Astyanax mexicanus: one gene and its partners. The protein of the gene in region 1 binds, or shares a complex with, the protein of each later gene. Links are inferred from orthologs where the notes say so. Each region holds a gene or a part of one and is shown in the gene's direction. Other genes may lie near its edges.

The links.
Region 2: gas8 (region 1) and efcab2 share a complex: the UniProt entries of both Homo sapiens proteins name them as parts of the nexin-dynein regulatory complex. The link is inferred for Astyanax mexicanus from reciprocal best matches to the Homo sapiens genes DRC4 and DRC8.
Region 3: gas8 (region 1) and iqcg share a complex: the UniProt entries of both Homo sapiens proteins name them as parts of the nexin-dynein regulatory complex. The link is inferred for Astyanax mexicanus from reciprocal best matches to the Homo sapiens genes DRC4 and DRC9.

What each region holds. Positions count from the first base shown.
Region 1 is NC_064416.1:13,275,303-13,283,494, forward strand, and holds the start of gas8 (dynein regulatory complex subunit 4), read left to right. Parts: upstream 1-3,521; 5' UTR 3,522-3,710; coding exon 3,711-3,713; intron 3,714-3,909; coding exon 3,910-4,002; intron 4,003-5,350; coding exon 5,351-5,548; intron 5,549-5,644; coding exon 5,645-5,851; intron 5,852-5,973; coding exon 5,974-6,028; intron 6,029-6,479; coding exon 6,480-6,685; intron 6,686-6,768; coding exon 6,769-6,936; intron 6,937-7,778; coding exon 7,779-7,865; intron 7,866-8,109; coding exon 8,110-8,192. Other genes in the region: tcf25 (transcription factor 25), read right to left, coding at 21-148, 274-345, 583-699, 2,228-2,440. UniProt on the Homo sapiens protein: Component of the nexin-dynein regulatory complex (N-DRC), a key regulator of ciliary/flagellar motility which maintains the alignment and integrity of the distal axoneme and regulates microtubule sliding in motile axonemes.
Region 2 is NC_064421.1:67,835-76,026, forward strand, and holds the start of efcab2 (dynein regulatory complex protein 8), read left to right. Parts: upstream 1-4,266; 5' UTR 4,267-4,343; coding exon 4,344-4,368; intron 4,369-5,766; coding exon 5,767-5,845; intron 5,846-5,944; coding exon 5,945-6,017; intron 6,018-6,466; coding exon 6,467-6,546; intron 6,547-6,846; coding exon 6,847-6,889; intron 6,890-7,072; coding exon 7,073-7,139; intron 7,140-8,160; coding exon 8,161-8,192. UniProt on the Homo sapiens protein: Component of the nexin-dynein regulatory complex (N-DRC), a key regulator of ciliary/flagellar motility which maintains the alignment and integrity of the distal axoneme and regulates microtubule sliding in motile axonemes.
Region 3 is NC_064416.1:10,717,240-10,725,431, reverse strand, and holds the start of iqcg (dynein regulatory complex protein 9), read left to right. Parts: upstream 1-4,250; 5' UTR 4,251-4,346; coding exon 4,347-4,475; intron 4,476-5,443; coding exon 5,444-5,646; intron 5,647-6,680; coding exon 6,681-6,818; intron 6,819-7,432; coding exon 7,433-7,505; intron 7,506-8,192. UniProt on the Homo sapiens protein: Component of the nexin-dynein regulatory complex (N-DRC), a key regulator of ciliary/flagellar motility which maintains the alignment and integrity of the distal axoneme and regulates microtubule sliding in motile axonemes.

The sequences.
Region 1 (8,192 bases):
GAACTACAAACAGCCTTCACCTGTGCTCCACATAAAGTACAGGCCTATGGCCTGAGACTCCACTGTCCTCACTCTGGTGTGAAAGGCCATTGGTCTTTTCTATGGTCTCCAGCAGAGCGTCAATGTCATCCCCTGCAGTGGACTCCTCCTATGAAGATTTAGAAGATAGTAAGAGAAGAGGAAGAACAGAAACACAAGCAAAACCTCCAGTGTTAAAATGTTCTGTTTTACACAAGTTTATATGATATGTAATATATACAGTGCATGTCATACCTGCACATCCCCAGGAGCAGTCTTTTTTTTCTTCTTCTTCTTTTTCTTTTTTACTTTCTCGTTAGAGTCAGACTACAAAATAAAAAGAAAAGATAAGAATAGGAATGCTATGTTTAAATGGTTCTGTTTGTGATCAAATTTGCCACTAGATGTCATACAGAGCACCAGCATCTCAGGTCAGAACAAAAAAATGCAATTAACACAAGCCTTAACTTTGCCACGCATGTTAAAGGGTTGACTTGAGTCTCTTTAGAGAAGAATTTAACAGTTATTTGTCCGTTTTTAATTAATGGTAATGTAGTTTTAAACCTTTGTGGTCTCCATATCAGGTTGGCACTCTTGCTTTTGTACTCCATGGCTTCTCCCTGTCAACACGTTCTCCTCATCAGTGGGACTTTTGTCTGTATCATTGTCAGGGTCACCAATCTGTAACAGCACAGAAACAAATAAACATCCACCCTGCTAAGAAAATTATATAAACTGATAGAGGCAGTCACTCAATGTTTATTAGCAAAGATAGAAAATCAAGATATCTGTAATGCAGTTATCCTAATAGAGGTGCTAACTTTGAAAATCAATTATGAAATATTTACTATCAAAAATATCTGATCTAATGATCTATAAATATATACTGCCAGGATAGCATATGCCTTATACAATCTGAATCATATCATGCCATTGATTCTCATTTGCTCATATATACAATTACCTTTTACAGCTTCAGTTACAAAAATACTAGTGCATCTCAAAAAATTAGAATATCAGTGAAAAGTTACTTTATTTCAGTAATTCAATTCAAAATGTGAAACTGATATATCATATAGATGTATTACACACAGGGTGATCTATTAAGTGTTTATTTCTTTTTGTTGATGATTATGGCTTACAGCCAATGAAAACCCAAAAATCAGTGTCAAAATCAGAATATTATATAAGACCAATTGGTACTTTTGGAAGTGTGGACAGTGTGCCAAGTCCTACTGGAAAATGAAATCCTCATCTCCATTAAAGTTGTCAGCAGAGGGAAGCATGAAGTGCTGTAAGATTTTCTGGGAAAACACTGCCCTGACTTTAAACTTGATATAACACAGTTGACCAACACCAGCAGATGACATGTCTTTTCAAACCATCACTGATCATCAGTAAATTGTACATTTCATTTGGAAATCAAGGGATCAGAGTCTGCTGGAAGAGTGGAGACACACACAGTCCAAACTGCTTGAGGTCTAGTGTGACATTTCCACAATCAGTGATGGTTTGGAGAGACATGTCATCTGCTGGTGTTGATCCACTGTGTGTTATATCAAGTCTAAAGTCAGTGCAGTTTTGTTTTTCCACAAAATCTTACAGCACTTCATGCTTCCCTCTGCTGACAACTTTTATGGAGGTGTGAATTTTATTTTCCAGTAGGACTTGTACAATATGTCCATAAAATCCAGAGTTCTAATATATTTTAATTAATTAATATGTGTACCTGGATTTTTTAATAGAATAGAATACTGATGGTGTATTTTGACATAATGGTGTATTTTTGATTGTCTCAGACATCTGAGTTTAAAAAAAGAAAGAATTTACTATACAATCATATTCATCTTCTGGACCAACCGTGTCTCTTATTTGTGTATAGTAATGTTTATAATTCTATAGCTATATCTTTAATTGGACTTAAAAAGTACATGTTATGTAATTGTAGATGCCAGGAAGTGATTAAAGTAAACAAATAGTACTAATAATAACAGTAACAGTATTACTGGTTATATTGATGATGATAATAGGAGATTCTGGGAGTATGGCTGGTCAGTGTGGAGTTTCATAAGTTTGTTTATATCTGGAATAAGAAGGTTTAGCATTACAGAGATCCTGAATTTGAGTTTTATTGTATTAGTAAGAACTCTGGTTATCAGCAGTCAGTCTGTATCAGTCTTTAGCTGTTCAGTGTTATTAAAGTTCTGACCAGTTCATAAATGTTGCTAATGTTCTTCTGAGATTTGCTCCTCTTGGTTTTCCTGCCTGCTCCTCTGACCGGCTGCAGAACCTCCTCCTGCTCCTCTAACTCCTCTCCCTCCCGCGCCGCCTCCTCCTCCTCCTCCACCCGCAGCTCCGCGAGGTCCAGGTCCTCCTGGCCGCGCTGCTTCCCCTTCAGTCTGCGCAGCGCGCGGCTCGACATCTTCACAAACTCCCTAAAACCAGCGGATCTGCAGCAGCTGCGCCCAACTGAGACCCCACCATAACCAGCACCACCAGCGACCCAACAACACGCCTCCTGATTGGACAGCAGTACGGAAACGCTGTCACTGTCACTACCGGAAAACAAATAAAAGTCCCACATGTTAATACAACCAGAAAACTTTTTTTTAAGTATTTTTACAACCAACATCTCAAGCACATCAAAACAAAAACATAAATAGACAAACAAAATAAACAGAAAAAAGTGGGATTCAAATTAATTTAAAATATCGAAGGATTTATGTTTTTTTCTATTTTTAATTTGTCCAAAAATTTCCAGTAAGTAATAATAATTATTTAGGTCTGAATAAATAAAAGTTCGGAATAATGGTATCTATTACAAAGTAAATATAAAGTCAAATCACTATAATTATATTCATTAAGAAAAAATAATTGCATTTAGTAGAAGAGAGCTTTAAAGAATCTTTATAACTTTTGTTTTGTTGAATATATATGTATATTTTGTATTGTTTTGTTTTGTATTTTATTATGTTAGTTTAACCTAATTAAAACTTGATTTTATTTATATTTTATATATATATATATATATAAAAATGTAAAAGCATTAAAAAATCAACTAACCTAATTAATATTTAATTAGATTTCATTTTTAAAGAATTAAAATTATTTAAAAGTTGGACAAGCTAAAATAAAACAATTCACTAAATAAAAGCAGTCAAAGTAAGAGATCATTAATTAGAACAACAAAAAAAAGAACATAACCCCAAATGTAAAATCTGAGTAAGTAAAAATAACACTAACATAACAGTGAAGAAGGATAGGGGTAAAATTATTACAGAAGAAAAATATTAAATTATTATTATTAAAGCAAAAAGAATAAACATAATAATTACATGTTCATAATATATATCGTCCTTTTTTCGTAGTATAAATAAGAATAAATGATTAAAGATTCCTCGCATTGCTTAAAAAAACAACAAACACTTTCTGCTTGGGAATATTTACTGAGTGAGTGTGGAGAGTCTGCAGGGCAGCTCCACGCTGCAGCGACTCATTTCTATTCTCGCGAGATCTGAACTGGTTTCCATGGATCTGGTTTGTTGTTTGCAGACCATCAGCACAGGAGAGCTGTAGCTAAACTATCTAAAGCTAAATCACGAGAATATCTGTACAGTTTCTCTGCAGAAACACCCGAATACACACTGCCCTCATCTGACTGACCAGTACTAGCTACTTTACACACATACAGCATGGTAAGTGTGATTTAACAGCGTTAATTTGTTAGTTAGCTAACGTTATATAGGTTATATATCGGTATAGCTAGTGGAGGAGCTATCTAACCAGAGAGTTAGTTAAAGCTGTATAGACTAACAGTACATCATTAATGTGCGGTAATGCAGTGAGAATGGGTATTTGTAACATTATCCTCTCCAAATGTTCATATTTCAGCCTCCAAAAAAGAAAGGAGGGAAGACTGCGAAGGGCAAGAAGAGCCCTACAGTGGTGGATGGACTTTCCACAGAGGAAATGTCGAAGGAGCAGGTAAACTAATATTTTAGCCAGTTATAATGTCATTATTACTGTTTGTGTCTTCAGTGATAATTATCTAACAGGTTTCCAGCAGATTCAAAGGCTACTAAAGCTTTATAGTTTGTTTTTAAGGTTCCAACAACAATGAGACAGAAATTCTAAACGCATGTTGCCCCCCCTGTGGAGCAATGGAACTGAGTTTTTAGGAATGATGGTTCTCCATTTAGCACTTCTAGGGTGGTGAGTTGTTGAGATGGGGGTGAGGTGGGTTACTGTACAAAGGTGTGAAAAGTATTCACATTTAATATTCAAGTATAAGTATAGATACAAGGGTTTAAAAATACTTCTGTTTAAAAATACTTATTTTTAATCAAGTAAAAGTGTAAAAATACTTGTTTCAAAACTGCTTAAAGTATCTAAGTAAGAGTAATGTTAGGGGAAAATGCATTTAAATGCACATTTTTTTAAATGAAAGGAGTAGAAAGTACAGATAGTAGTGTGAAAATGTGAGGAGTAGAAAGTACAGATAGTAGTGTGAAAATGTGAGGAGTAGAAAGTACAGATAGTAGTGTGAAAATGTGAGGAGTAGAAAAACAGATAAATGTGTGAAATTGTGATGAGTAGAAAGTACAGATAATTATGTGAAAATGAAGGAGTAGAAGTTACAAGTCATCTTAAAATAATTACTCCAGTAAAGTATAGATAACCAACATTTCTACTCAAGTAAGGTAACAAATCATGTATACTGTGTAATATGACACTTCTGGGTGGTGATCATCCAATATCCTGTTCTCACTAACACGATTGTGGCTAAATGCAATAAAATCCCAACAGCAATGATCCAAAATCTATAATAAAGCCTTCCCTGGACAGTCGAGACATTTACTCCAACAAAAGCTCTATGAACTCTATTTATAATAATAAAATAAGCAGTTGTCCATATATTGTATATTGACTTTAAAGTGACAGTCCATAGGTTCTGGTGAGGATGTGAATTTGCACTGAGCATGCTAAAAGTACTTTTAAAATGTGCATTTTAGGCAAAGTCTTTTTACCAGAGTTAGCGAAACTGGTGACTGTTTGCACTCTCCTTAATTCACCAGTTCTCTCCTGGTCTATTTCTGTGTTTCTTTGGTTTAGTGAGATCTGAATGAGCTGATAAAGACTGTGTTTGCTGTTCTGATATCGTTACATTCACAATAGTTTTTTGTATCAACATCATTATTAGCACTATGGTTGTTCATGTTCTATGACCTACCAGACACCCTGTTTTTAGAATGAATATATGTGGCTTTGCAGGAAGCACACTGATGCCAAGTATTAAAACTAAAACTACGTCATTATCTTCATTCTTCATTAGTTGGAGGACCACATTGTCCGCTTGCGTGAAGAGCTGGACAGGGAGAGGGAAGAGCGCAACTACTTCCAACTGGAACGAGATAAGATCCACACCTTCTGGGAGATCACCAAAAGACAGCTGGAGGAAAAGAAAGCAGATCTCAGGAACAGGGATCGGGAAATGGAAGAGGCTGAGGAACGCCATCAAGTTGAGATCAAGGTATCAAGAATGATAATGAGAAGCTCTGGCACATGAAACACTGAAAAAGTTTAGATCTATCATGAATGATCTAACGGTGTTCGTTCTGTTATTCAGGTGTACAAACAGAAGGTGAAACACTTGCTGTATGAACAGCAGAACAGCATCGCAGAGCTCAAGACAGAGGGAGTGGTCACCACCAAACTGCTGCAGAAGGAACATGCAGACCTGGAGAATGATCTGCGGAAGGGCATTCGGAATCTAAAAGTGGATATCAAGGAACAGGAGCTTTCCAGTGAAAATCTGATCAAGAGTCTTAAACTGGTGTGTGAATGCTCAGCTTACAGCTAACATGACAGTCAGTGTTGATAGACTTTAGGCTGATAAGATGTGGACTCTTTTTTAGTTAATGCTATGCAGTTACTAATCATACCTTCTTTTCCCAGAAACATGATGAGGAAATTACCAAGATCAGGAATGATTTTGAACGACAAGTACGAGGTGATGTATCTCACCCTTTTTTATTTGCTTTTATATTAGAGTAAATATTGTAATGTTACAGGCTATATCTCTCTTTTACATAATGTACTACTGGTCAAATCATTTACTAATTAAAGGATTTTTTAATCAAGTGAATAAACCTGTCAACAACTTAGAGCAGATCTGTTGCATTGGAAGTAAATTAACCCTGATGCAAATTTAATGCAAACAATTTACTATTTACAGTCCCTTTCTCTGTATAAAAACAGTGTTGGAACAAACAACAGTGTTTCACTACCACAGTATTTACACAACACTCTACATTCAGATCGCTCATTACTCATTATGACTAAAAAAAGACACTTAAGTTTTAGAGGTTTGATCACTTGGACTACTGAAAACATTTAGGGTCTAACTGTTCTCATACTTTTGACCAGTAGTGTAAATTATGCTATTTTGTTTTCTCTTGCAGAAATAGAGGCTAAATATGAAAAGAAAATGCTGGCTCTGCGCCAGGAGCAGGATCTCAGACGCAAGACTGAAATCGAGGAAATAGAAGAAAGGAAGAACTGCCACATTAACACACTGATACAAAACCATGAGAAAGCTTTCAGTGACATTAAGACCTATTACAATGATATCACTTCCAACAACCTAGCCCTCATCAGTACACTCAAGGTATGCCTGTGTCTGATATAACCTAGTGTTTGCTATTGATTAAACCACTATAATTCTTAATGAATTCTCCTCTCTGTGTGCAGGAGAATGAGAGAGAAATGAAGAATAAAGAAAAGAGGTTGGAGAAAGAGATGGCAAAGGTGCTGCGGGAGAACAAGCAGCTGACCGAGCCTCTGCAGAAGGCCACTGAGGAAGCCACAGAACTCCGGAAACAGCTGGCCAATTACAATAAAGACAAAAACTCACTAGCGGTGTGCACAAGTCTCTTTCAGGCTTATTCTGTAACACACATGCACTGTGCGTTCATTCCTCATGACTCATGATAAATTTGTACCTGGGCTTTTTACTAATATGTACTGATACATTATTGTGTGTGTAGATCATAGGGCTAGGCAATATATCATAAATATTTATATATTAGATGTGTTATGTATTAATTAATTATGAAACTAGGGGCGCCGAGTGGTCCAGCGGTCTAAAGCGCTGCCACTATGAGCGGAGATCGCAGGTTCGAACCCCCGCTCATGCAGCTTTGCCATCAAGCTGCCGGCGTCAGAGGGAGCAAAATTGGCCCTGCTCCCTCTGGGTGGGTAGATGGCGCTCTCTCCCCACATCACTCCTAGGGTGATGTCTGCAGCACAGGGCGTCTGTGAGCTGATGTACCGGAGCTGATGTACAGCGCGCTTTCCTCCAAGCTCGCTGGCTGCTCGGCAATGCTGCATCAGCAGCAGCTCGAAAAGAAGCGGGGGCTGTCTTGACATGTATCGGAGGAAGCATGTCCTGGTGCGTTGGGGCATCACTAGTGATAGAGGGAGTCCTAATGAGTGGGTTGGATAATTGGCCGTGTAAATTGGGGAGAAAATGGGAAAAATTTGAAATAAAATTATATAAAAAAAGAAAGTAATATATTGATAATTACTTAATTATAATATAAATAACAGATACAACAATAACTAAATAATCAACAATAAATAAAATAACTGCAAACCTCATTTATAGTAATATTTATACAATATATATATATATATATATATATATTTCTGGTTATTCTTTACAGCAAGTGCTAAATTAATTTATTTTGTTCCTCCTTTAGGGAGCCAGAGCTCGAATCAAGGTGGCAGAGAAAGAAATAAAGGACCTGAAATGGGAACATGAAGTATTGGAGCAAAGGTTCAGTAAGGTGAGATATACTGTTCATGCACATACACACTATTGTACATACTGTACACTAATGGACAATTTCAGTGTTCTCAGTTTATTTGTTTATGTTGTGCTGACTTTCTGTTATTTAATGTAAATCACCTGCACAAAGGATTATATATAGTTTTTTTTGTTTTAATAAATATGATCCATTTTTCTAAAGACTTTAACCCATTAGACCTGTTACTCAAATTGTCCTCTCTCTTTGCTTTACTGCTCCTCAGGTGCAGCAGGAGCGTGATGAACTGTACCAGAAGTTCACCAAGGCCATCCAGGAGGTGCAGCAGAAGAGCGGCTTTAAGAACCT
Region 2 (8,192 bases), on another chromosome or scaffold:
CGCAAGCGTGAAACATGTGACCTGTGAGATTATTTGAACTGTAGTAAACGATAATTGCGGTGCGTGTACAGCAGCAGCAGTAAGCGGTTGCGGGTTGCGGCGAGGGAAGCGGTGTGTGTAATGTGTGTATAATAAGTGTGTGTGTGTGTGTGTGTATTGCAGGTGTTGCGGTGTGTGTACAGCAGCAGCAGTAAGCGGTTGCGGGTTGCGGTGCGGCGCGGGAAGCGGGTGGGGAAACGGTTACTGAAGCTGCCGGAGAACCGCAGCAGCCTCAGCCTGTGGCGGGAGTACGCTCACCTGCAGTGGATTGTGGGTAATGTGGAGGAGGGGCGGAGAGTGTTCGACACGGCACTCGCAGTGGGAGGGGCTTCAGGACTGCAGGACCACACCCTCTGCGAACTCTGCCTTTTGTACGCCCAGTTAGAGGTGGAGCAGGCGTGCATGGGCGGAGCTAAAGCCTCCGTGGCTCCGCCCACTGGCTCTCGGGCTGTCTATGTTCTGAGCAGGCTGGCGGAGGGGGGCGGGTACAGCGGGTTCTCAGGGCAGGTGAGCCCGGTGTCGGTTCTAAAGGCCCGGAAAGCGTACGAGAACGCCCTATCAGCAGCTGCAGAGGGCGGGACACCACGGAGTGCTCTGATTGGCTGTTTCGGACTGTTCCAGTACCTGACGGTGGGGATTGACGCTGCTGATGCGGTCTTCACTGAAGCCAGAGAGCGGCTGACACCCGGCACTGCCACTGCCACTGCCACTGGCACAGAACCCGACCCGTCACTCAGAGAGCGCGAGGCCGTGTGCGTCCTGCATGTGGCACTGCTGCGGCTGCACTCCAGCACCAGCGCCTTCCCCCTGTCCCGCCTCCGGATGGCGCTGACCGACGCCCTGCGCCTCCTGCCCTGCAGCGCCACCCTGTGGCACTTCTACCTGCTGACCGAGAGCCGTTACCATAGCGCCGGCCGCGCCCGCAGGTTCTTCCACACCGTCGCCAGGGGCAACCAGACCATCATACCACACCTGTTCTCCATCACCGCAGAGCAGCGGAGGAAACAACACCTCGACTCCGTCATCAGGTCAGAACAGAACTACACAAACACACACACACTACACACTGTACACACACACACACACACACACACACTCTACACACACACACACACACTATACACACTAACCCCTCCCGTCTCTCTCTCAGGTTGGGTCTTCCAGCCGATGCTCTGCCAGTGATCCCGGAGACGGGCCTTAGTAACCGTATCCGCTCACTGTTTGAGGTTGCCGTGGCGACGGAGGAGGGAGCCCACTGCCCCCTGCTGTGGAGGATGTACATGAACTTTATGGTAAAACATCTTTCCCTCTTTTGTCTGTTAACCCTAAAGTGTATGGGTTTCAGGGACGGGGATGAAGATGTTGGTGATTATGGTGATGATGGTGATAATGGTGATGAATGGTGATTATGGTGATTATGGTGATGATGGTGATGATGGTGATGATGGTAATAATGGTGATGATGGTGATTATGGTGATTATGGTGATAATGGGATGATAGTGATGATGGTGATGATGGTGATGATGGTGATAATGGGATGATGGTGATTATGGCGATTATGGGGATAATGGTAATGATGGTGATTATGGTGATGATAGTGATGATAGTGATAATGGCGATGGTGATTATGGTGATTATGGTGATGATAGTGATGATAGTGATGATGGTGATAATGGTGATAATGGCGATGATGGCTATGGTGATGATGGTGGTGATGGTGATGTTGATTATGGTGATTATGGTGATAATGGGATGATGGTGATAATGGGATGATGGTGATGATGGTGATGATGGTGATAATGGGATGATGGTGATTATGGGGATAATGGTAATGATGGTGATTATGGTGATGATAGTGATGATAGTGATTATGGCGATAATGGCGATGATGGCGATGGTGATTATGGTGATGGTGGTGATGGTGATTATGGTGATAATGGGATGATGGTGATTATGGTGATTATGGTGATTATGGTGATAATGGGATGATGGTGATTGTGGTGATTGTGGTGATAATGGGATGATGGTGATGATGGTGATAATGCTAATAATGGTGATTATGGTGATAATGCTAATAATGGTGATTATGGTGATAATGGGATGATGGTGATGATGGTGATGATGGTGATAATGGGATGATGGTGATTATGGTGATTATAGTGATAATGGGATGATGGTGATTATGGTGATAATGGGATAATGGTGATGATGGTGATGATGGTGATAATGCTAATAATGGTGATTATGGTGATGATGGTGATGATGGTGATAATGGGATGATGGTGATTATGGTGATTATGGTGATTATGGTGATAATGGGATGATGGTGATTATGGTGATAATGGGATAATGGCGATGATGGTGATAATGGGATAATGGTGATGATGGCGATGATGGTGATAATGGGATAATGGTGATGATGGTGATGATGGTGATAATGCTAATAATGGTGATTATGGTGATGATGGTGATGATGGTGATAATGGGATGATGGTGATTATGGTGATAATGGGATGATGGTGATTATGGTGATTATGGTGATTATGGTGATAATGGGATAATGGTGATGATGGTGATGATGGTGATAATGGGATAATGGTGATGATGGCGATGATGGTGATAATGGGATAATGGTGATGATGGCGATGATGGCGATAATGGGATAATGGTGATGATGGTGATAATGCTAATAATGGTGATTATGGTGATTATGGTGATGATGGTGATGATGGTGATAATGCTAATAATGGTGATTATGGTGATGATAGTGATGATGGTGATGATGGTGATAATGGGATGATGGTAATGATGGTAATGATGGTAATGATGGTGATTATGGTGATGATAGTGATGATAGTGATGATAGTGATAATGGTGATTATGGCGATAATGGCGATGATGGCGATGGTGATTATGGTGATGGTGGTGATGGTGATTATGGTGATTATGGTGATAATGGTGATGATGGTGATGATGGTGATGATGGTGGGTGTGTGCAGGTGTGTAACGGGGACACAGAGAGAGGAAGAGGAATCTTCTATAAAGCTCTACAGAACGTCCCCTGGGCTAAAGTGAGTCCCTCTCTATATATACGTATAGTGTGTGTATATTTATATGGTGTGTGTTTGTATGTGTTATTTATATATATGTATTGTGTGTGTGTGTGTGTGTGTTATTTATATGTATATATATATATATATATATATATATATATATATATATATATATATATATATATATATGTATTGTGTGTGTGTTTTATTTATATATATGTGTATATATGGTGTGTGTGTGTGTGTGTGTTATTTATATATATGTATATATATATAATGTGTGTGTATGTGTGTGCGTTTGTGCAGTGTGTGTATATGGACGCGGTGCGGTTGTTTCCGGATCGGGTTCAGGAGTTTTTGGATCTGCTGGTGGAGAAGGAGCTCCGGCTCCGAGCGCCGATGGAGGAGGTGGAGATCCTGCTGGAGGAATAAACGCCTACACTACCCACAATGCACCAGACCTGCGGACCCTCACATACCTTTATTTATATTTTATTTGGATATGAAAATGGTAATTTTGTGATAAATGTATATATTTATAGTCTGCAGTGTCCGGGTTTTATTTTTTAATGTTTTTAATTAACGTCTTTAATAAACATCGATTTCTGTAATAAATACAGAACACAGTACTGTACTTTACTCTCAGTACTTCAGTACATTTTACTGTAAACTACTCCAGTATTGAAATACAAATAATGTTAAATACTTCTGTACTTTTACTGAAATGTGGAGCTTAAAGAACTTTAGCTTCCACATCCTGAAACATCTGATCCCACCACTGATCCCAGAACAGCAGCAGCTCAGGAATATTTAACAGTGATGAAGTAATGTCATGTAATAAAGTACTGTAATGTAATTAAGTACAGTAATGTAATAAAGTACTGTAATGTAATTAAGTACAGTAATGTAATGAAGCTCCAGTGTTGATCTTCTGGAGATCTGGAGATTTCTCCTGCACAGTTCTGTAATCTGAGCTGCATTGGGGGGAGGTGGTCTTAATGTTTTGGCTGTACATTTCATATTTCATTAAGCTTAATTTAAATATAAGATTTATATTAGAACAGTTGCATTATTACTTTAATCTATAATCTAATTTATAATCAGATTTTATATAAAACTCAGTCTTTTCTGTGTTGTGCAGAATTTAGAGCTGATTGTAGTTTAGTGGGCGGAGTTTGGGGGGGTTGCACTATCTGGCAACCCAGCTACCAGCAGCGCGTCCGTATCTAAGCAACCAGATCCGCGGTGGAATGGCGGAGGAGCGCGCGCTTGCAGGTAAACATCGGGTTCTCTTTATTAACTCTTTAAACCGATTAATCAATTAATCCAATTACCGATTAATCTCGAACCGCGGCGTCACTGTCAGCGCGGCTCTGCTGGGTTGCCAGATATTAACGCGTTTTTATTTCAGTGACCTGATGCAGAGAAAGTAGGAGAAACAGCGCTGTTTAAACACATCCACGTTCCTCTGATTCATTTACTTACGTTTAAAAATAAAAATAAATAAATCATTCTCTAAATCCAGCGACAAGATCAATAATCTGGCAACACTGGAACACTATAACACTGCTCTGTAACAGTAAAGAGTTACCCAACGCACTTTTAGTATTAATATAAAAAAACTGAAAGCACTTTACCATTTAGAATAAAATGCATCTAATTCTATACCCTCTCTACATCTGTACACACTCATTTATTCACCTCTAAATCACTTTTAGTGCATAAAATCACCTATTAATGTTCCCAGATAAGAAAAAAAAACACCAACAGCTCCAAATCTATAGGATTTACACATCTAAATAACGGGGGTGTTCACTTTGAATCATGGGGAAAATTCACACCCATTAATATTATACAAATCCTGTATTATAACTCTATTATATATTATATTTTATATATTTACAAATTTACTAGCATTTCAGCAACGGTGTATGATACAGCTAGGTGGCAGCAAACACACGCACTTCCTTTATATTTACAATACAGTGTCGATTCTCCTGTATATTTAATTGTAAAAATGTAATATACTGTATAATTGGCACTCTATCCAAATTTCTAAAGTGCGTGTGTTTGCTGCCACCTAGCTGTATCACATACAGTTGCTAAAATGCTAGTACATTTGAAAATATATAAAATATAATATATAATAGTCAAGTCAAATGTATTTCTAATTTAAAAACCACAAATACCAACCAAAGTACTGTACAATACAGAAGTACGAACAATTAAATATATAAAACTAAACAACAAATAAGATATAAGATAAATAAAAAAGTAGCATCAGGAAACAAGATTCAGATTAACCCCAGACACTCAGAACTGAACACACTGAAAGTCCTGAGAGTACAGGTACGATTTTAGATTAGTATTAAAACAGTGATGGAGGGAGATGCAGATTATTCCACAGTTAAAGCTCTGTAATCTTCTGACTTCAGTTCAGGAGTTTAAGCGTCTCTAAGAGCTGCTGATTTTTAGGACTCGTCGGGTTGAATATGGATGCAGAAGGTCGGAGATGATGGTCTGATGGAGACGCTGTTAAAACTTTAATTATAAATTGACCGACAGTCGGTACAGGAAGTCCTGTACAGGAGAGATGGACTCCCTCTCATTAGTCCCAGTTAAGAGTTCAGGAGGTTCTGAAGGTTCTGATCAGGAGGTTCTGATTGTGTTCAGGTGTGTCGGAGGTCCAGAAGAAGATCCGGAGCGCGTTTGATGTTTTTGATCATGAACAGAATCAAACTGTGGACGTCAGGTTGGTTCTGATTCTGCAGATTATAGTGATGTAGAGTTCTGAGTTCTGATCGGGTTCTGTAATGAATCTGATCCGATTTGTTTGTTTGTTTGTTTTTAGGGAGATCGGGACGATTATTCGTTCTCTCGGTCGATTTCCCACCGAAGCTGAACTGCATGACGTCATCGCTGAGGTCAGAGCTCATTTACATATTTCAGACATATTATATTAAATCTGCGGCTGTGTCTTTTATACTGGTTTATATACTAAGTTATATACTGGTTTATAGGTTACAGACAGGTTTATATACTGGTTTATAGACTGGGTTATATATATGTTTATAGACTGGGTTATATAGAGGTTTATAGACTGGTTTGTATACTGATTTATTTACTTGGTTATAGACTGGTTTATATACTGGTTTTTAGACTTGTTTATATGTTATAGACTGGTTTGTATACTGTGGTTTAGATTGATTTCTATACTGGTTTATATACTGATTTATAGACTGGTTTATATGCTAATTTATATGTTATAGACTGGCTCATATGTTATAGACTGGGTTATATAGAGGTTTATAAACTGGTTTATATACTCGTTTATAGACTGGTTTAATGAGCAGTGCTGGAAATGTTGTTACAGATCGAGGAGGAGGAGCCAGCGGGCTTCATCCGTTTTGAGAAGTTCCTGCCGACCATGTCCCGAATCCTGATGGAGAACAAGTAACTCTTGATCACTGCGTTTACACTGAACTGATTAATCTGAATTATTTCAAACTCCAGTTCTGATTGGAGGTTCTGATCAGAAATTCTGATCGGAGGTTCTCATCGGAAGTTCTGATCGGAGGTTCTGATCGGAGGTTCTGATCGGAGGTTCTCATCGGAAGTTCTGATTGGAGGTTCTGATTGGAGGTTCTGATTGGAGGTTCTGATCGGAGGTTCTGATTGGAGGTTCTGATCGGAGGTTCTGATTGGAGGTTCTGATCGGAGGTTCTGATTGGAGGTTCTGATTTGTTCTGTCAGGTTACGTCCCGTTCCTGAGGATCTTCTGCTTCAGGCGTTTGAGGTCAGAAACTCTTACGTTCATCTTGTTCAGATATTAATTTAACTTCAGCGGTGCAAAAGCACACAGTCTGAATCCTGTAGAGCAGGAGATCAGGAGGGAGATCAGGACTGTGTGCTAAAGGTGTTTATAGAGCGAATCTGGTTGTTAAATTAAATAATAATAAATAATATAAATGTGTTTCAGGTTCTGGATCAGCAGAAGAAAGGACACCTGGATCCGGAGGAGCTCAGCAGATATTTAACACAGGAAGGTAAATCCAGCACTTAGACTTTAGCTCCTCCCACTGCCGGTGACATCATCAGATATGTAAAGTTTACTGAAGATTAATTAGAAATTCCTGACTGTGTTTCGAGTCTCAGAGCTGAGGGTGGTGTTGTGGGTGGTGCTGAGGGCGGGGCTGTGGTCGGGGCTGATGGATGTGCTGCTGTTTCTGCAGGAGATCCTTTCTCTCAGGAAGAGATGGAGCAGATGAGGGTGGTGTTGTGGGCGGGGCTGAGGGTGATGTTCTGGGTGGGGCTGAGGGTGGTGTTCTGGGTGGGGCTGGGGTTGTGGGCGGGGCTGAGGGCGGTGTTGTAGGCGGAGATGAGGGTGGTGCTGTGGGCGGAGCTGAGGGTGGTGCTGTGGGCGGAGCTGAGGGTGGTGTAAAGGTGCTTGCACACTGAACGCGGTATGCCGCGCGGCATTCCGCTGTGCTGCCGCTCTGCTCTACGCTGGTCAGTTGCGGGTGCGTTGCGCTGCTGCTGACGCCAAGCGTCTCCTGCTGATAATAGGCGGAGTTTTCTAAAACCCATCACCTCTGTGAGCGGTGTTTTGTAGTTTTGAGTCTCTACAGCCTCTGTGGATCTGTATATGTTTCTCAGCCTCAGAACAAAGCTCTGATTCTTCTCTTCCTCCTGTTATCTCTATATGAGTGTAGGGAAGTGATGTACAGCTGAGGGGATTCACTAATCGCTATTATTAGTCTCTCGCGCACGTTTATTGTTGTTTGGACTACAGTTTCTCTCTAGTCGCGTGAGTTCACGTCATGCGTTTTCTGCCGAGGTACCGCTTGCCGCGAGGTCAAAGTTGAACCATGTTGAACTTTGCCCGCGGTAAGCGGTAGCGCGGTGGAGGCGTGGTTATGGGCGTGGAAACGCGCCGCTTTCCGCTCTGCTCCGCGGCAGCGACGCACCGCTCTACCGCTCTAGACACTATTGAATCCTATGGGGGTCAGCGTACCGCGCCGCATCTACCGCGTGCAGTGTGCAAGCACCTTTATTGTGTTCCTGCAGGAGATCCGTTCTCTCAGGAGGAGATGGAGGAG
Region 3 (8,192 bases), about 2.6 Mb from region 1:
ACAGTTTTTTTTTTGCATGCACTCAATATAATTTTTGTTTGTTAAACTGTTACATTCTACAGAATCAGGGTCTTTGTAAATTACTGATAATGAAATATTTCTACTGAACTTATGAAACTCTTATTTACTGTTTTCATTTAAAAAAAAAACTAAAATACTGTCATTATTTTAGGGCCCTCCCCTACTGATGATGTTCATACTAAGATATTCCTATAAAAGCATTCAGTCCAACACCCACCCCCAACTGACACTGAGAGTGATACTGATACTGAATTACATCAGTGTTGCCAAACTGCTCGTGTTTAATCCTGTTCTATTTTACTCATTTTTTTTACAACAAGCCCTTGTACTTAGGGTTACTGCGCCAAAATATAAGTGTTAAATTATAATAATTGTTAAAGTAAAGTATAATGAATCCATATTGCATTACGGTATCATGATTTGGTACCATGTTACAGTATCGTGATTTAATATTGCATTACAGTAAAGTATGATTATTCGATAATACATTACAATATCGTGAGCTGGTATCATGTTACAGTATCCTGAGCTGGTATTGTGTTAAATTAAAGTATGATGATTTGATATTGCATTACAGTATCATGATCTGGTAAATGTTACAGTAAAGTATGATGATTTGACATTGAGGTACAGTATTGTGATCTGGTATCATCGAATCATCACATTTCACTGTAACGTGATATTGGAACACGATACTCTAACATTATATCAGATCATGGTACTGTAACATGGTACCAGCTCATGATACTGTAATGCAATATCGAATCATCATACTTTACTGTAAAGCTATATTGGATCATGATACTGTAACATGATACCAGATCACGAAACTGTAACATGATGTTGCATAATAACACTAATGCAATATCTTGTTACAGTATCGTGATCTGGTATCATATTACAGTACCATGATCCAATATCGCGTTGCACTAAAGTATGATGATTTGATAGCATTGCACTAAAGTCTGATGATTTTATATTGCGTTAAAGTGATGTATGATGATTTGATAGTGTTGCCCTTAAGTATGATGATTTGACAGTGTTACACTAAAGTCTGATGATTTGATATTGCATTACAGTATCGTGATCTGGTATCATGTTACAGTAAAGTAAGATTATTTGATATTGTGTTACTGTATTGTGATCCGAATTGGTGTTGCAGTATTGTGATCAGACATTGCATTGTAGTACAGTTTTTGTGATCTGAAATAATGTTACTGTAACATGATATTGCATCATAATAGCTTGTTACCGTAAAGTATGATTACAGTATTGTGATGACTACAGTACAGGAACGTGATCTGAAATTGCGATTCAATATTGTGAACAGATACTGTGTTACAGTATTGTGATCCCATATCGTATTACAGTAATGTATGATTACAGTATCGTGAACAGATATCGTGTTACAGTATCGCGATATAGAGCACTGCGTCCGTATCGCTGAGCCCCAGCCTGTAACTACTCCCTCCCCGGGTAGAGTTAGCAGCTAAGTTAGATTAGCCAACTAGCTAACTATCCCTGTACAGAGTCCCACTCAGGATAATCAGACTGATCTGATCTGCTGTAGATCAGACTGCAGCTGTTAATCAGATCAGATCAGATCAGATGATTAAATAATCAGACTGTAAATTAGTTAACCCGCAGCTCCAGCTGTAACTCTGTAACCCCACTAACTGTGTTCCGCTGACCCGCTCCGGCAGCGGCTCTCTCTCCCCGGGCTGCGGGGCGGCCGGCGGTCCGGCTGCGGGAGAAGCCTCACCTTCACGGAGGGGAAGAGCTGGACAGATCCGACGCTTCTCCGAACATTTTAAACTCTTAAACCCGCCTCACTCCGTGCTCTCGGGTCTGCGCTGCTGCTGCTGCTGCTGCCATCTTGTCCTGGAGATCCGGAGCGGAGACGTCGCGGTGTCCTCCTCCTCCTCTTCCCGCATCCTAAACTCCGCTACAGCGCTCTAACCCTGCCAGCAGCTCCTCAGCCGCTCCCCCGCACTGCCCGACGCGCTCTCACTGATACCGGGTACGGCCGCGCGGGCGCTGGAGCCCATCTCTCAGACGGGAGCCTCTGTGCTCTGTCCTCCCCGTTGCGCTGCTTCGCTCTCGGCTGAGGGAGGGGGAGCGCCGCGCTTATCATACAGCCAGACTCAAACAAACCAACCGAGAGACATCGAGCGAGGCCCCGCCGGGCCGTGTCCCAACAGCAGCGCGAGATGCCTAACTAGGGTGCCTAGCTAGGATGTACAGGGTCCTGCCGCCACGTGGCTGTTTAGAGAACAACAAACAGACAGACAGACAGGCATATAACTAAAATAAACAGACAGAGAGACCTACAGATATATAGACAGACAAATATACAAATAGATAGTCAGATATACAGACACATTAACAGAAAGACAGGCAGATAACCAACAGATAAACAAACATAGATAGATTGACGGACAGACAGATTATTAGACAGATAGACAGACAGATAGACAGACAGACAGACAGACTGACTGACAGATATATAGGCAGACAAATATACAGACACATTGATTAACATACAGACAGACAGACAGACAGACAGACAGACAGACAGACAGACAGATAGATAGATAGATAGATAGATAGACATTATAATCTAACATAAGAAGGCAGTGCAATAATGAATATACAGTGTGGAACAGCAGCAGGTATCAGCAGTTAATGAGAATTCTGAATAAACACATACACATATATGTATTTAGTAGTGTGGCTAGTGTCCAGAAGTGCAGATGTACAAATGTAAAGTGTATCTTTGTATTGTTATAGCTTTATATATAGTCTCTGTGTGTCAGGTGTGTGCAGGTGCATCTGGTAGATCACTGATTAGTAGAGTTTAATGGATCGATGATCAGCTCTGTGCTCGTTTAGTTCGGTCTGTTCTTCTGTGCTTCCATCCTCATACCCTGCTGCCCTCTGCTGCTACAGCAGATACATGCAGCAGTTCTGACTTAATCACACTCAGGTACTGTCAGTATACCATACTACTGAGAGTTAACAGCACAGTGCAAAAAAAAGACATATTACTACTGTACTACTATGAAATACGTAAATGTAAAATACAGAATAACAATAATGACTTTTATCTAGATGTGACCTCTCAGGTCATTTGAGAGGTGCACGATGCCACTCTTCAGAGAAGATGAGAAAATAGGAGAAAAACTTGCAATTAACTCCTTACCTCTTCTCATAATTAGATTCACATGTGTATGTAGGTTAAAGGTCAATAAGCTTACCAAACGTGTTTAAATAATTAGTGCTAAATGTATTCAAATAAAATGACAAGAGTGTTGAACGAAAAGAAAATGGTGTTGAAAGAATGAACAACTCACGATTTTCAGATTTGATACATGCAGATCCTTAAATCCAAATCTATTTAATTCAAAACTCAGAAATACAAATACATTCAGTAGATATATTTGTAGAAGGTATGTATCAGAATTAGGAATCTGAATTTTTACATTTAAAAATGTATGGAACTACTTTTTTAAGTTACTTTTAAATGTATTTTTAAGCAGCACATTTGGCCACCTCATAAATTCAGAATATAACCATTTTACTCTATTCACCCACATTTACTAGTGGTGAATAAATAGTGTCTGACTACCTATTGTTTAATTTTAGTCAGTGGAATAGAGTATTTTGTTAGGAAAAGAAGGAAAAGGGAAAGAAACCATACCTGTATGCATCTCCAGCTTTAGCTCACCAACCAATCAGCTCACAGTAGCCGTGATGCTTGCGTCTCTACAGCATAAACATACAGGTAAGTTTATTTTGCTTGTATCTAAATATTTGATTCTAGTTTCTAATATTAAATGAATATCTCGGACAAGTAGCCCCTATTTGGCCACCTCTTACGTTCAGAATATAAAAATTCTGATTAAAATTTATGAATTATGTCACTAAATAAGTGTATTAAAATATAAAAATGCAAGTTGAAATACATGTCATCCCGGGCTCCCTCTAGCAGTTTACAGTAATTTAATGTAATTCAATTTTTACAGTGATTTCTTTGTGTTGAAATTAATCACAATTTTTATATTTATAAATAACAAAATAATTTATTATACTTAAAATTAAATGAATATCCCGGGAAAGTAAGTAAGTAAATAATTTGTAAGTTAGTTAGTGAACTCCCATTCATTTTGGTCTCCTCCAGCGGTGAGCGCACTAAGTGCGCAGGCTCACCACGTTGCGCGTGCCGATACGTTAGTTGCGTACAGTGTGTCGCGTTACCAGGGGTAACGTGCGTAAAGCGCGCAGATTGCAGAGTTCGGTGTTGTCAGTGGCTGAACGGGAGAATTATGTCGTGCCGGGTTTCGGGAGTGGACCGGCTCCGGGTCTGCGCGGTTCTGGAGCGCTGTGCGGACCAGCTGGACATTCTGGGACACATCATGCCGAAGAACCGGAGGAGCCGCCCGGGGGCTGAGGAGGTCTGTAACCGGCTGTTGGAGGAGCAGAGTGGGGCTTAACACAGCTCTGTTCTAGTATAAATATAACTAAACATAACCTATAACCATAATCTATAACTTTAAAACATAATTACTATAACATATAACTATAGCCTATATAACTATAACCTATAAACCTATAACTGTAACCAATAACTGTAACCTATAACTATAACATATAACTATACCCTATAACTGTAAACTATAACCTATAACTATAACCTATAACTGTAACCTTTTACTATAAACTATAACCATGACCTATAACCTTTAACCATAACCAATAACTTTAACCTATAACTATAAACTATAACCTTTAACTATAAACTATAAGCACGACCTATAACTTTTAACCATAACCAATAACTTTAACCTATAACTATAAACTATAACCATGACCTATACCTATGACCTATAACTTTATTCTATAACTTTAACCTTAAACTATAACTATAACATATAAACATACCCTATAACTGTAAGCTATAACCTATAACTGTAACCTATAACTGTAACATTTAACTATAACCTTTAACCATAACCAATAACTTTAACCTATAACTATAACCTATAACCATGACCAATAAACTATAACCTATAACTTTATCCTAAAACTTTATCCTATAACTTTAACCTTAAACTATAACTATAACCTATAACTATAACCTATAACCATGACCTATAAACTATAATCTATAACTATAAACTGTAACCATGACCAATAAACTATAGACTATAACCTATAGACTATAACCTATAACTTTATCCTTAACCTATAACTATAACCTATAACAAATAACTGTACCCTATAACTGTCAACTATAACCTATAACTATAACCTATAACTGTAACCTGTAATTTATAACTATAACCTTTAACTATAAATAAATATAACCTATAACAATAACTGTAGAACATTCTAACTCATCCTGTGCTGTACTGTTGAGCAGGCAGAGGCTGCACATATCAGCGTGATCATTAAACAGCACCAGGCCGCTGAGAGTCACCTGAAGACTGTGCGTAAGAGTCGGGTAAATGATTCTGAACTCTCTGAGGCAGTGGAAGAGCTTCATCTGTCCCAAAACCAGCTCAGACGCACGCTGGAGGAAAGCTCATCCTCCCACAACAATCTGGCCAAAGTGGAGAGAGACAGGTACAGACACTTACATCTGATTCTTCTTCCTCCATAATAATGTAGACATTGTTTATTTGGGTGGTGAATTGGGGTTTGACACATAGTATTGTGCGTAATAATATCACTAAAATGTAAAAAAATAAATAAAAATGTGATAGTTTTAGATGTGATCAGGATACTCCTTTTTTTTTTTTTTTTGCAATTTGTAAAAAATGGAAAATTCACATTGTTCTTATTTTCCATTAAATATGTACTACATACAGATTATATCTGGCCAGTATCTTTTATTTTACTTTAGTCCTAGATATTTAGAGTGCTAATGATTATTTGTATCATGACATGTTGCATCATTGACTTCCATAATGTGCCATATCATATTGTATGCAATAAAAATATGGTGGTTGTGTGTTAATAGTGTGTGTTTCTCTGGTATAAGTGGATTAGACACAGCAGTGCTGCTGGAGTTTTTAAACATTTTAGCATCACTGGTAGAGAGAGAACATTCTATCAACCAAGAACATCCAAAAAAGTGTCTTGTGGGTATCATCCTGGCAGCGTCCTGTGGGCAGCGTCCTGTGGGCAGCATCCTGTAGGCAACATCCTGTGGGCAGCGTATCAGTGTCCTGTGAAGTAAAGGACCAGTGAATGATGAACACAAACTGTGCATTTTATATCTACAAACTGTGTCAGTTAGGGAGGAGTGTCTAATAGAGTGAAGTACAGTGAATACATTGTTTAAGAACTCCAGCAGCACTGCTAAAGTGTCTGATCCACTCGTACCAGCAACACAACAAATACTACTAACACACCAGCAACATGCCAGTGTCACTGCAGTGCTGAGAATAATAACCCACCACCAAAATAATACTGTTCTCACCACTAAATAGCAACAAAAACTAATAAAGTATGCAGAAAAACAGATACAGGACTACAGTCTATACTTATTATAGAACTACAAAGTATTCCTGTTTGCTCAGTGTAGCTGATAAGATGTGTAGAAACATGGAGATGTATATAATAATGAACCTAATAATGACCCACTCTGTTTGCAGGCAGTTTGTAGCCAAGGTGATCTCAGACCTGCTGGCTGAAATTCAAGAGAGTGGCACTTTTCACAGCCTGGTTCAGGCAACGGAGGAAGAGAGGAAGAAGAGCGATGGTGAAGATCACCTGCATGACACTGTCATAAGGTCTGAACATGAACGCTGAACTATCAATACTGTGGTGGACAGTATTTAATATTTGAAGCACGGCGACTCGAAACTGATACATCAGCTCACAGATGCCTTGTGCTGATCGACATCACCCTAGGAGTGATGAGGGGGAAAGAGCGCCATCTACCCACCCAGAGAGAGCAAGGCCAATTGTGCAAAAGTGCTTTCTCAGGGCTCTAGTAGTTGATGGCAAGCTGCATGAACAGGATTCAAACCGGCAATCTCCTCCTGATCATAGTGGCAGCGCTTAGCCCGCTGGACCACTCAGAGCCCCCTCAGTGGTGGACAGTAACAAAGCAAATGTAATTCGGTTAACTTTGTACTTAACCCCAGACCTGAATTATGTTCCAGTTATGGAAAAATATATGAATGCTGTTTGCTGTCTGTAATGCACACAAAATAAGACGCTACTATCCTCATATAAGCTCTATATATATAAAAATGATCAAATTAACTAAATTTCTTATTCATACACATTTATTTTTTTGATGCAAATTGAATGTCTACTCGACGTATACAGTATATATCTATATATAGCCTAAGGAGTGCTGCTAAGATCTATAAACACAGAATGTCCTCGTGTTCTGCAGGGAGGAGCTCAGGATTAAAGCCTTGCGAAAGCAGCTGGTTGATGTTCAGGAGGAGAAAACATCAGAACTTGAGGTGAGTACACACTGTTTTTCTTTTGTTTGTTTGTTTTTGTACACTCCCCAAATTTCAGCAAATATTTGATTAAATATTAATATGGATCTAACGCAAGAGTAGTAAAAGAAACCATAGGTCAGTTTGGTTCTTCTTTATTTTATAAAAAAAAAAAAAATAAAATGCACTTTATTTAAACTTAAACTTGTTCATTACGATTCTTATCAATAACATAAGTTTTACATTAGTAAAGAAAGAAGAACTTTTTTTTTTCACAAAGAAGAATACGCAGATACATGCATATCTGTTAGAAAGGCTTAAAGATTTCTTTTTTTTACAGCTTAAAAAATACGAAAAACGTTAATTATGGGAGAAAGTTTGGCCACACTTGGTTAGATGATTAATTCAAGTTTCCAGATTAATCATACTCAATTATGCATTAATGTTAACAGCACCACTTAACCTCCCTGTTATGTTACAGGTCGAATTGACCCGTTTTAAAGTTTGAAGATCTAGGAAAAATAGTTAAAAGTATTTTTTTTTTCCAGTATGAAACTTCTTCTGCTTGCCTCAATTAGTGTTATCAACATATAATATGAAAACAATTCATCTTACATATTTGCAACCACCCCCTGCAAAAACTAAATCTAAAACTAAATTTAAATTTTATGTTTCAATGTTATGTAAAACAATTGTGTTTTATTTGCC